Drosophila melanogaster: one gene and its partners. The protein of the gene in region 3 interacts with the protein of the main gene of each other region in a pairwise test. Each region holds a gene or a part of one and is shown on either strand. Other genes may lie near its edges. The genes, in order: RluA-1, rtp and CG1394.

Region 1 (4,888 bases), on a different chromosome or scaffold from region 3:
TTCAGGATGAGCCCTATAGCTTTTTAGCCATATAGCCATATAGCCCCATAGCCAGTGGCCATTAAATGTTGCCTCAAATGACGGGCAAGCCTTTTCTTTGTTGTTCGCTTTCGTGACCAACCGCGTTTCAAGGAGACCTCCACTCCACTCCACTCCATATACCCGTAGACCATGGCGTCGGGATCTGAATGGAATGGCCCGTGCGAAAGTGGGTGAGTTTCGGAAAACAAAAGTCACGCAGTCAAACACGCAATTCGCGGAGCCTTAGCCCAAATTTGATCAAACATAATGCCTTCTGTATTTTGGTTAGTTGCTAATTGGAAAAAATTATTAAAACTAATCCAACTATCTTTGAGTTGTTTCAATAGTCCTTGCTTATCTAAGGATCAACACGAGCTCGCTTGATTTAGCTTAATTTGTTGCCTACTTTTTGGCGCTCAAAAACATGGAACCAAACTTACAAGGATAAAGTTGCTTAGATACTGAAACAAAAATTATGTTTTTTTAGATTATAATAAGAATTTCTTCACTTCCACAAGATCTACGTTACGAATTTCACTTTTGGTGAATCAGATCTTTTATACTTTTGTTTCGCTCATCATCAGCCTCAACATTCTTTTGTTCATTTTCACTGTGTCAATCGGAAAAGGCAAACGCATTGTTTTCAGAATATATGTACATTCATGTTGGTATGTAATTTTTGAGGAATTCTTTCGAATGATTATTTGGTGCAAGTCGTAACTGATATTAGAAGGTTGTGGCTGCAACACCAGAAGTATGATTTTGAATATGAAATTGCTTCGAGCATTCCGAAAAAGTGGATTTTATACGAGTAATTGTGGGTGTGCCAGAGGACACTTACCATTTGTTTAGGGGAATTGTGTCAAATGGTCCCTGTGGCTTTGCACATCAGTGAGTTGATAGAAAAATTCAAGAGCAACTTACTCGAAGTCCTATAGAATTAAGCTGACCACTTACACAATTTTGTTTTTGAAGAAGTTCTTTACAAAATTAAAAAGAAGATGAATTGCTAAATTTCGTATGTCATAAAACCATTGCGATACTAATTTCTGGCCTAATTTGTAAAATCCTTTTTATTTTACAAAAATGCTAATACAGTCATGTTGGAATGTGTTGCAAGCAGGCAATCGCATGTTGCATGTTGCAGTTCCATTTCGAGTGCAACCACAACCAAGTCGCCCGACTTTTTATTTGAACGCGAAAGGTGAATTTTGGATTAAGGCCTTAAACCACAAAAATTAATCAAATTAATGGTTAATTCAATGGTTTTGGCAACAATTAAATGCTTTACCTAAGTAGGTCTTAATTGGTGCACTTCGAAATAGACATTCTAATAAAACGCGTAATTACTCGTCAAAGTATTTTATTTTAGTAATTGAATTATTTATTTATTTATTTTGCTGTTTGGCGCATGAGACAAGATTTTTAATTATAAGAGTTCCATAAACTTGATTTTAAATTATTTTAGAAGAAATACTGCTAGAAAAAAAAAACTACATTTCATGTAATTTATTGACAACTTACCATTGCATCAAACAAGTTACAAATTCACCACTATACAGTGGACCAAAAATGCATTTTATGGGTAAGAATAAAACTGTTTGGGAATAATATATTTATTATAATGTTAAAGTTTTTAAATTTGTTTTACCATATTGCAAAACCGGCTCGAGATTTTCGTAAATTGAATCAAACATTTAAACACCTGATCCTACCAAACATTTTAAAATTAAAAATGCGGTTTGCCCCACTGTGCAGCGGAAAATTCACCACGACGGCGAACGGCAACCCAAGTTTGTTATGTTTGCGCCAAGTTTTCTGATTTCATTCGGTGTTTTGGACTCGGCGAGACTGGAAGTTGATGCTGCCGCGTGAATGCCATCGTCGGTCAGGTATTAAAACGTGACACTTCTAATTCGCGTGTGATTCCCCCGAGTTTGCAGTCAATTTGTGATCAGAAAACATTTAAAATGCGTGGTTTACTTTGTGAAAAGATCTAATAACACTATGAAACTTAAATCAATGTGCAAGTGACGGTTATATAAATTAATTATATTAATTTAAAGCATAAATAATGCGAAGAGCCTGCAAATAAAGTACACTAAAAATACTCAAGGAAACATAATTTTTGTCGACATAACTCGAACAACATAATAGTGAATAATCAACGGCGCCGACATTTTGGCTGAAGAATACAAATTTTCATAAACGACAAACGATAATTTTCCATAACCAATAATATTATGACACATTTTATTGGATTTTAGTGGCTGAAACTATGGAACTTTGAATGAAATGATTCAAATAATTGGGCATATGTTAGAATTCATTGCTATATAAACCGATTATTATGCGCTTATTAATAGGAAAAGCAAAACTAAAAGAAACATTCTCCATCGGGTCGCAAAACGGTCCATTAAAATTATTATGTTGTGCTCTATGAAATTCTATGAGCCATTTTAGTTTTGTATTTTCCTTACCAACAGTTTAGAAACGAATTTACCTTCTGCTGGCGCAGATATACAAATTTTCTTATAAATATAGAAGTATCTCTCACTAAATTTGTTGTTCTTGCTTTTAAGCCCATGATCTATTGTCATCCTGGTGATTTTGAGATCTGGGGACTTACACATGAAACGTTCACACGAGCGCATATATAGGATGATTTTTTTTTTTTAAATATATTTTTTCTTCCCATTGTCTACACATAATATAGTTATGCAAGCATTTTGTTTGAGAAATGTACTAAAATCACTCGAAAAGATACACAATTGTGGCTGATAAAATGGAACTAAGACAAAAGACGACTGATGACAAAAATGAATGTGGCTATATCTCTATGTCTCTATGTACATACATTCCTGCGTCTTAAGGCACCGAAAATCTCGAATAATTCTTTGAAATTCTGGTATCTTGTCGATACAGCCCGAGTGGACCTAGTAATATACAAAAACTTAATTTAGCACAAGCTGCTAGCGCAAATGAAAATGTTTACACGTGCGCATTTGTGCCATTTGTCTCAGTAGGTGGTGAGGTATATATGCACGCTATATATACATATGTACATATATATATACCTGATTCTAAACATTCTAAATCGTGAGCCGATATCCTCCTAATGCCTGGTCTCGTATACGTATTATTCCATCCATTACACATCCAAACAGTCCAATATATAGGCACCCCCATACGCATTTCTTCTTGCCAGAATTCTGACAGACGCATGTACGGTTCCGAATGTAGGTTTATACGTATTCTAGAGGATATATTAGACTTTGTCTCGTGCAATTAGAGTAGCCAAGTAGCAGATGGCCCCCGCGTGTATTCCAAATGTATTTTCAAAGTATCCATTATCGTTTGGCTTGTATTTAGCAAAAGGAATCTACAACTCTCATGCGAATAGAAATTCTTTGATCCAATAATGCTCTTGTGTATGTATGGCCAATGAAAATATTATTGTTAAAAAAATATTAACGCGCACACGATAGACAAAGTTAATGCAGTGCAAAAGCTAATCAACATATTGTTCCGACTTTTGTGTGTGTGTGTGTGTGTGTGCGATGGGCTATTTTTTAACGCCAATCCGCTAATAGAAACCACAAATTAACGCATTTCGTGGAGCCTAATATGCAAGCTTTGGTATAGGTGTTCATAAACACTATAAAAAATAAATAAGTCGTTTGTTTAGGTTTTTAATTCGCATTATACAAGCCCGAAAATCGCTTCGACTTTTCAAATAAAACAGTCGAAACAGCATATGTACGGCCAAGACAATTTGTAAACACGTACAAGTACACAAAACGATTTGTAATTGACTTTAAGAGCCATAATGCTATCGCAATCGAAGTAAACAACAGATGATCGTATAACTCGGGAATGTATCCGTGAAGTTTTCTATCCGCAGCGATATTAATGTCATTTTCGATCAACAACAAAAAAAAACCCATCCAATCTGCAGTTTCCTCTCAGTGAAGTGAATAATTGCCCAGGATCGTGTCAACAATGCAGAATTCTCCGGCTCCGTGTGCCTGGTACTTGCCCTGGTCCCTGGCCGCCCAGCAGCACCAGCAAAAGATGCTGCAAATGCAGTCGCCGTTTCTGGACAAGATGGGCGCCACATCGGTGGGCGGCATCTTCGCTGGCCAGCCGCAGATGCAGCAACAATTGTCGCCCAATACGGCAGCAGCACCGCCGGCAAACTATCAGCAGCCCGCTTTGCATCCAAGCGCCGCACCAGGCGCACCACACTTCCACATGGGATCCCCGTATAGCCATCTGGCACCGCAGCTCCTCAACGCCGGACAGCTGAACCAGAACGCACTGATGCACTCCGCCATGTTCTCTTCCCTGCCACTTGGTGCGTACTATGCACCCGCCGCCGGCGCAGGTCACTCGGCCTTTGGTGGCGTTCCCCTGACCACGGCTGCCCAGCAATCTCTATTGGCCGCCACCGGAGGAGCAACTGCTGGCCATTTGGCCAACCAGCAGACGACGGCTCAAGTGCCCGTCCAGGTGCCCGTGCAAATGGCCCAACGGACAGCTCCGGCCGCCTGCTCCATGGTCCAGCCACTTAACTGCCTGCCGCACCAGGAACTGAATCACCTGTCGTCCATCAATCTCAACCTGCTGCGCAGTCCGGCGCCTCCGCTCCCAGCCATTCAGGTCTTGCCAAGTGCCGAGGTGCCGATTAATAAGAAGGTGAGTTGCAGTTTGCTTAGTACTTGTAATGATAGGCACTATTCGTACTTGAGCGAAGGCTAGTACTTAAATTACGTAGACAAGTGCACTGAGGCAAAATATCAGTAACTAACTTAGTGGTACAATAATATACGAAAGATAGTCTCACATGAAACTATTATCTTAATGA
Region 2 (3,770 bases), on a different chromosome or scaffold from region 3:
TGTAACGTACACACTTTTGAAGAACTTGTAGGATTTTCTTCATTTTATTATATTAATAAGCATTAAGTAGATTTGTCTGATTCATTATAATTGACTCGCTCGTTTGCTGTGCTCTAGAATTGTGAAAGTATACTCAGCCTCGCGGCAAGTGGATTCAGGCATCTTGACCCGCATCGATGCGGATCTAATCGACGGGTCGGAGGAGCAGCACCGCTGTATCGTGGATATCTGGACAAAGGTCTGGGTGAGGAAGGATGAGCACGAAATCACCTTTAAGTGCCGCAACCAGCCGGTGGTCCAGGCCCGACACACGCGATCCGTGGAGTGGGCCGAGAAGAAGACGCACAAGAAGCACAGCCATCGCTTTGACAAGGTGGACCACCTCTTCTACAAGTTCCAGGTGCGATTTGGCCGTCGCTACGTAAGCACCGCCGAGCGCCAGATGCGCCTGCGCATTTTCCGTCAGAACCTGAAGACTATCGAGGAGCTAAACGCCAACGAGATGGGCAGCGCCAAGTACGGCATCACGGAGTTTGCTGATATGACCAGCTCGGAATACAAGGAACGCACGGGACTCTGGCAGCGTGATGAGGCAAAGGCCACTGGCGGATCGGCGGCTGTCGTACCGGCTTACCATGGTGAACTGCCGAAGGAGTTTGACTGGAGGCAGAAGGATGCTGTCACCCAGGTGAAGAATCAGGGATCCTGCGGTTCATGCTGGGCCTTCAGTGTGACCGGCAACATCGAAGGCCTGTACGCAGTGAAAACGGGCGAATTGAAAGAGTTCTCCGAACAGGAGCTGCTGGACTGTGATACCACGGATAGTGCCTGCAACGGCGGCCTCATGGACAATGCTTACAAGTAAGTTACGAGGGAATGAACATTACGATGTAGATACTTATGTAATAATTCCTCCGCAGGGCCATTAAGGATATTGGCGGCCTAGAGTACGAGGCTGAGTACCCATACAAGGCCAAAAAGAATCAGTGCCACTTCAACAGGACTTTGTCCCACGTTCAGGTTGCCGGCTTCGTGGATCTGCCGAAGGGAAATGAGACCGCCATGCAGGAGTGGCTTCTCGCCAATGGTCCCATTTCGATCGGTAAGTCGATGCAGAAAATTAACCCCAAAGCCCACTTAACCAGATCATTTCTCTAGGCATCAATGCGAATGCTATGCAGTTCTATCGCGGCGGAGTTTCCCATCCGTGGAAGGCCCTGTGCTCCAAGAAAAACCTCGACCACGGTGTTCTAGTTGTGGGGTATGGCGTCTCCGACTATCCCAATTTCCACAAGACCTTGCCCTACTGGATTGTGAAGAACTCGTGGGGTCCGCGCTGGGGAGAGCAGGGCTATTATCGCGTTTATCGTGGTGACAACACTTGCGGCGTCAGCGAAATGGCCACTTCGGCTGTGCTGGCCTAGACTTGCTTTGAGTCCAATTATATACAAGCATACGACTATATCTAGGTTAATAATTTAGCCAGTAACTTTGTGTACAATTAATTCTGTTTCCATGTTCTTCAACCGTCACGATAAGGAGTCGTTGAGTTTCAAAGCTTCGCCTATATAGTATAATCATTTCAGACATCTGTAATCTCACGAAAAAGTCTGCATCCACATATTCCGCTTTAATTGAAAATAACAATAAATTGTACAAGAATTAAAACCTGGTTGGGTTTATTATTGAATCCATGACAGCTCTGGCCGCAGCAACAGTTGGTCAAGATTGATGGTTGGTTGGATCAAGAAAAATGTTGAATTTATGTGAGATGTATTCAAATTATTCGATTAAAATGGTTTGATTAAATATGGGTGCCAGAGTATTATTGGCTGTTAAGAAATATTTATAACTGCTTCAATTACTGGAACATTTGACCCAGTGATTTTGATGATTGATTTTCAAACACTTTGTCAGTGTGTAGAAGTGCAATATGTTAATTAGATTTAGACCAGGGCCGTCGCACCGTGGGAAGCCATAGAAAATGAGTGTTTCTGGTGCAGAACCAGCCAGCTCAGTAGCAGCTTGAAGCGCATCGCGGGCGGTAGCGGAGCAATGGCCATGGACGACTACGATGATGACAGTAAGTGAACACAGACAAAAGGATGCAGATACAAAATTGCGTAAAAATCATTACCCAGTGAGCAGCGTGGGCGTGACCACGGCCCGAATCGAGAACCAGCACCAACAGCACCCCCACCAGCAGGGTCAGCATGGACACCACCAACAGGGCCAGGGTCAAAGCCAGTACAGCGCAGGGGCGGTCAAAGTGGGCGGATGGCGATACGAGGACGCCAGTCGCTACATCGGCGAGTGGAACCAGCGTGGCCAAAAGCACGGCATCGGGCATCTGCAGTTCGCCGATGGCACCCGCTACGATGGGCAGTTCCAGGAGGGTCTTAGTCAAGGAGTGGGCTGCCTCTGGTTCGCGGATGGAGCAAAGTCAGTTTCAATAATATTAGTGATGTAAACCTAAACGAAATATTGTAGCACTTGAAAACTATTCTTGTAGCCACTACTCGGGGAGTAAGAGGAAATGCTAGTATATATATTCTTGATCAGAAATGGTTTAGCTATAATTTACCTAGGGTTTGCATCCAGTGAAGAAAATTGTATATGATGATTCATTTTGCACATTTTTAAGACAGATACGAAGGCGAGTTTCATCAGGGCTGGTTTCATGGTAATGGGATCTTCTGGAGAGCCGATGGAATGAAGTACGAGGGCGAGTTTCGAGGCGGCAAGATCTGGGGCCTGGGATTGCTGACGTTCCAGGACTTCACGCACGGCTTTCCCAGAAACGAGGGATTCTTTCAAGACTGCCGCTTTATGAGACGACGTCGATGTCCCGAGGTGGTGCAGCGTGCACAAAAGTGCGCTCTTATGGCCCGTTCCCAGTGCGAACACCCATACTGAACAGACACTTCAGATTGGTTACCAGTTGGTATTGATAAACACGTACAGTTTAAAAATACAAATTTTAGTAACCGACTGTAAGAGTCTCAAGTCATAAAACAGAAAAAGGTGCCTTTAAGAAAAGAAATAAGCATTTCTTTCTTAACATCTTAAACTTTAATACATTTGCGCATAAACGTTCGTAAATGTATCTAAGTAATATAAAATGCATACAATTTCGCGTTTACTTTATAATTTTGCTTTTTCCAAATTCTTTATCAAAAATTCTTCAACGCACCCTAATAAAAACAACAAGAAAATTATGAAGAATTTGTGCGTGTGCTTATTGGATTATAATATTAACAAGAACGGAGTTGTTTCTCTGCTAATTCGGACTAGGCGCACCGACCAGGTACCACGCATTCCTGGCCTTCACCGCTGTGTTCCGCACCAGACGCTTGGGATCATCCAAGGCGGCGGCCAGGGCCAGAGTAACATCGACTTTGTGGGGCAACAGGACGAAGGTAGGATACTTTGTCACATCGTAGAGCAGCTGCAGCGCCGCAATTCGCACTTGCTATAAGAAAGAAAATGAGTTTAAGTTTTGTGTTCGACATTTTCCTTTACAAGTTAAGAAACCTCCTCAATTAACTATCAAATCTTTATAATAATATGTGCATGTTTAACTTACCATGGTATGCTGAGCCTTGTATTTCGACAGCTCCAGACAGCTGGGTATGAGGTGGGCCAAATGCCCTTGGAAATACGTGTCCTGCTGCGCCACAAACTTTTCACAGATGCCCAATGCAATGCACAGCGACTGCGCCTCGTTGTGCTCCTCCAAGCTCTTGAAAAGCAGCGGACCGAGCTGCTCA
Region 3 (3,046 bases):
TTTAGTATAAATCATCGAATCTTTTTTTAAGAATAATTTCCCAATGGGCATACCCATTTTTTTGTAAGTGCATCTCGTTAGCGTGTTGAGAAATTGCCATCTCATCACTGTGACAATCAGCCACGCCCTGTGATACGACAAAAGGGGCGGCAGGCGTTGTATTTGCATAGTTAGAAACGATGAAACTTGTATTGTTTTTTGTACTTTACAATGCGAATCTCAAGAACATATATTTATACGAAGTGCTCAAGATAATCATACGGTGGAAAATTGGGTCTATTAATCTTATAAATGGTTTGCACCTAGTTATTTAAATTTGATTTGTTTAAACTAAATAGAAAAATCGAAATATTTACAATGTAAGCTTGATTTGTGCTTTAATTATTTGTATAAAAAATAAAACTTCAATATTTGACTGCCGAGTGAAAATAACAATAGTAACCTTTGCCATACATCACATTTTGCCTATTTAGTAATTAGCATATAAAATATATGCGATTTGAGTTTACAACGCTCTTCTCACATTCAATTTGCCGCACGTTAACTCATCTCTGTATTTATTAATGCAATTAACCCACCCACCGATTTGTGCCAACTGATTATTTTCATATCTTATGGATTTATGACATTTATTTTATACATTTTCGCCAAGTACGAGTCGTTTGAGCTGCACAAAACGGACGTTTGGTTCGAAAACTAATTGTGTATGTATATGGCCCATATGCGATTCACTTTAGTCGTTCGGTGAAGATGCTCGTGCTGTCATTGTTCGTGGCATCGATCCTACCAGAAGCCACCCTTGGATGCACTGCCTCCGCCGTAGTTCATGCTCATGTCCATGCCGTTGTAGGCGCAGAAGGCTTCGCCATTGTCGATGCACGGTTCATTTCGTCCGGGTATGTCTCCATATATTGAACGGTCCACGGGTGGCGGCACTATATGCTGGGCTCCTGTAATGGGCATGCCACACGACATGGCACCCGGCATGGCACCCGGCATGGCACCCGACATGGCACCCGGCATGACGCCCGGCATGGCACCCGGCATGGCAGCCGGCATGCCACCGGCTCCTCCGGCGTATGGTAGCATGGAGTGTGCCTGAGCTGCGCCCTGGCTAGGCCAACCTCCTAGTCCGCCGGCTGATCCTAATCCTGGTGCTGCTGCTGTTGCTGATAGTGGTGGTGGAGCGGCTGCTCCAGCGGCAGAGTGCTGCATGAAGTCACCCATCTGCGGATAAACGGGAGCATTCAACGGCTGGCCATTCCAGTACGAAAACGAATTCGACATATTGTGAGTTGCGGTTGAGTAAATCCTAAATACAAATAATTTGGGAAAGTGGTGAAAAAGAAACAGTTTTTCTTTCGATTTTTTTTTTTTTGACCAAATAAAAGTTGTACAAAATTTTGCTCCGCTGAACGGTGTTTACTGTTTGGGATCTAAAATATAACTGATAATCTGGAGCTCCGGCTGGGGTACCTCGATTTTTCGGCTTGACATTTAATTTCATGGATATGTTGATTGGAAATTTTTGGAAATTTTTTTTCGACCGATTGCAGTTGGCCATGAAAATACATACGATATTAAATTGATTGTTTTACCTTGGCACATATTTTAGGTTTAGCTCTTCCATAAAATGCCTAAGAGTAAATATATTTTCTAAATATTTTGAATAGCAAATTATAAGTTACCATAGTATATATGTACATCATCGTAAAATATTTGATTTATTAACCTGACATAAGATTGTTCATAAAGGTTTTTGTGCTTCTAATTCAGGTCATTCCGTGTTATTTAGCATACAATTTTATATTGTGATAAATGACATTTCTTTTTATTTTCATTTCATCTTTTTGCTCTTGAGTCTTGATTCCTATTTCTATGATTTTTTTTTTTTGGTTTAGCCTTGTCGGAAAATGGGGGCGGTGGGCGACCGAGGGGCGTGGCATGGCCAGCGTTGTGTTTAATTTTTGAAAAAGGACGCCAACTGTCGTGATGCAGCACAGATGATAATGACGAAGACGCGGCAACAAACGTTTATTTACACACTGGGTATTAAATGGGTATTAAAGACTTGGTACCATAAAATAGAAATAAAACATTGTGCATCTAATTACTTTGCTAACTATAAAACAATTATAAAACTGCATTAAATTCGATTAAAGTAATTGAACATTTTGGCAAATATAAGCAATTATATGCTATTTCGTGTTTAACTTTCAACTTGATCTTATAGCCCATCTAACACGTTTTGATTCACACATGATTGGCATTTAAATACGGTATTTTTAAGGTTCTCACCCTCTTGGCCATTCACATTCCACTTGATTCTTGTGCCAAGCATAAAATGCAAAACACTTGAACTGAGTGAAAACGAAGGCGAAAGCAAAATAAGCAACAACAAAATGTCTCATAAACCAACCAGATGCAGTGAAAGAAAATTCATACTAAAAATATATACATATATAACAAATGTACAGTATAAATTATTACTTTATAGTTCTAGTTGACAATAAGGAATTAAATGTTTCAACATTGCGTATGCTTAATATTCAATGCTGATATTGCGTATACGCAACGTTGGCCGCATTTTATTTTTAACTGTGCCTGCGAATATGAAGAATAAGCAGTAAGCTGAGAGAAAAATAAAAGAACGCAACATGGCAGGGTGTTGATAATGATAGCAAAGACAAAGGCCCACGCCTAATGGGACACGGAATGACGACTGAGGGGCGATGATGAGGCGTTGGCCGGATGGCAGGATAGCTGGATGCTTGGATGGTTGGATGGTTGGATGACTGTAAGGCCGGGTGACCATCCGACTGTCATGCCCACGTCCTTGACGCGCTGCAGTGGCGACAACGTAGTTAAATTGCCTGTCCTCGGCCGGCGTCAACATTGTGTCATTGCTAGTATTAAATCAGAGCCAAACAAATGATGATACATAAGTGCGACACAAGTGCGCAAAAAAAAGAAAAAAATATACAAACACAGCGAAGATTAACCGAAATGCTGGGTGGGAAAATTAAAATTACAGCACATAGCTTTG

What was found.
Region 1: the proteins of CG1394 (region 3) and RluA-1 interact in a two-hybrid assay, tested with the Drosophila melanogaster proteins (one large-scale study listed by BioGRID).
Region 2: the proteins of CG1394 (region 3) and rtp interact in a two-hybrid assay, tested with the Drosophila melanogaster proteins (one large-scale study listed by BioGRID).

What each region holds. Positions count from the first base shown.
Region 1 is NT_033779.5:10,471,307-10,476,194, reverse strand, and holds the start of RluA-1 (RluA pseudouridine synthase 1), read left to right. Parts: upstream 1-1,845; 5' UTR 1,846-1,913; exon of another isoform or gene 1,914-2,047; intron 2,048-3,709; exon of another isoform or gene 3,710-3,868; 5' UTR 3,869-4,023; coding exon 4,024-4,719; intron 4,720-4,888.
Region 2 is NT_033777.3:5,235,545-5,239,314, reverse strand, and holds rtp (retinophilin), read left to right. Parts: upstream 1-1,999; 5' UTR 2,000-2,055; coding exon 2,056-2,083; intron 2,084-2,141; coding exon 2,142-2,442; intron 2,443-2,648; coding exon 2,649-2,916; 3' UTR 2,917-3,223; downstream 3,224-3,770. Other genes in the region: CtsF (cathepsin F), read left to right, coding at 118-861, 921-1,102, 1,159-1,424; Mms19, read right to left, coding at 3,281-3,472, 3,587-3,770. UniProt on the Drosophila melanogaster protein: Plays a role in promoting axonal degeneration following neuronal injury by toxic insult or trauma.
Region 3 is NC_004354.4:11,169,223-11,172,268, forward strand, and holds CG1394 (uncharacterized protein), read right to left. Parts: upstream 1,457-3,046; 5' UTR 1,288-1,456; coding exon 784-1,287; 3' UTR 589-783; downstream 1-588.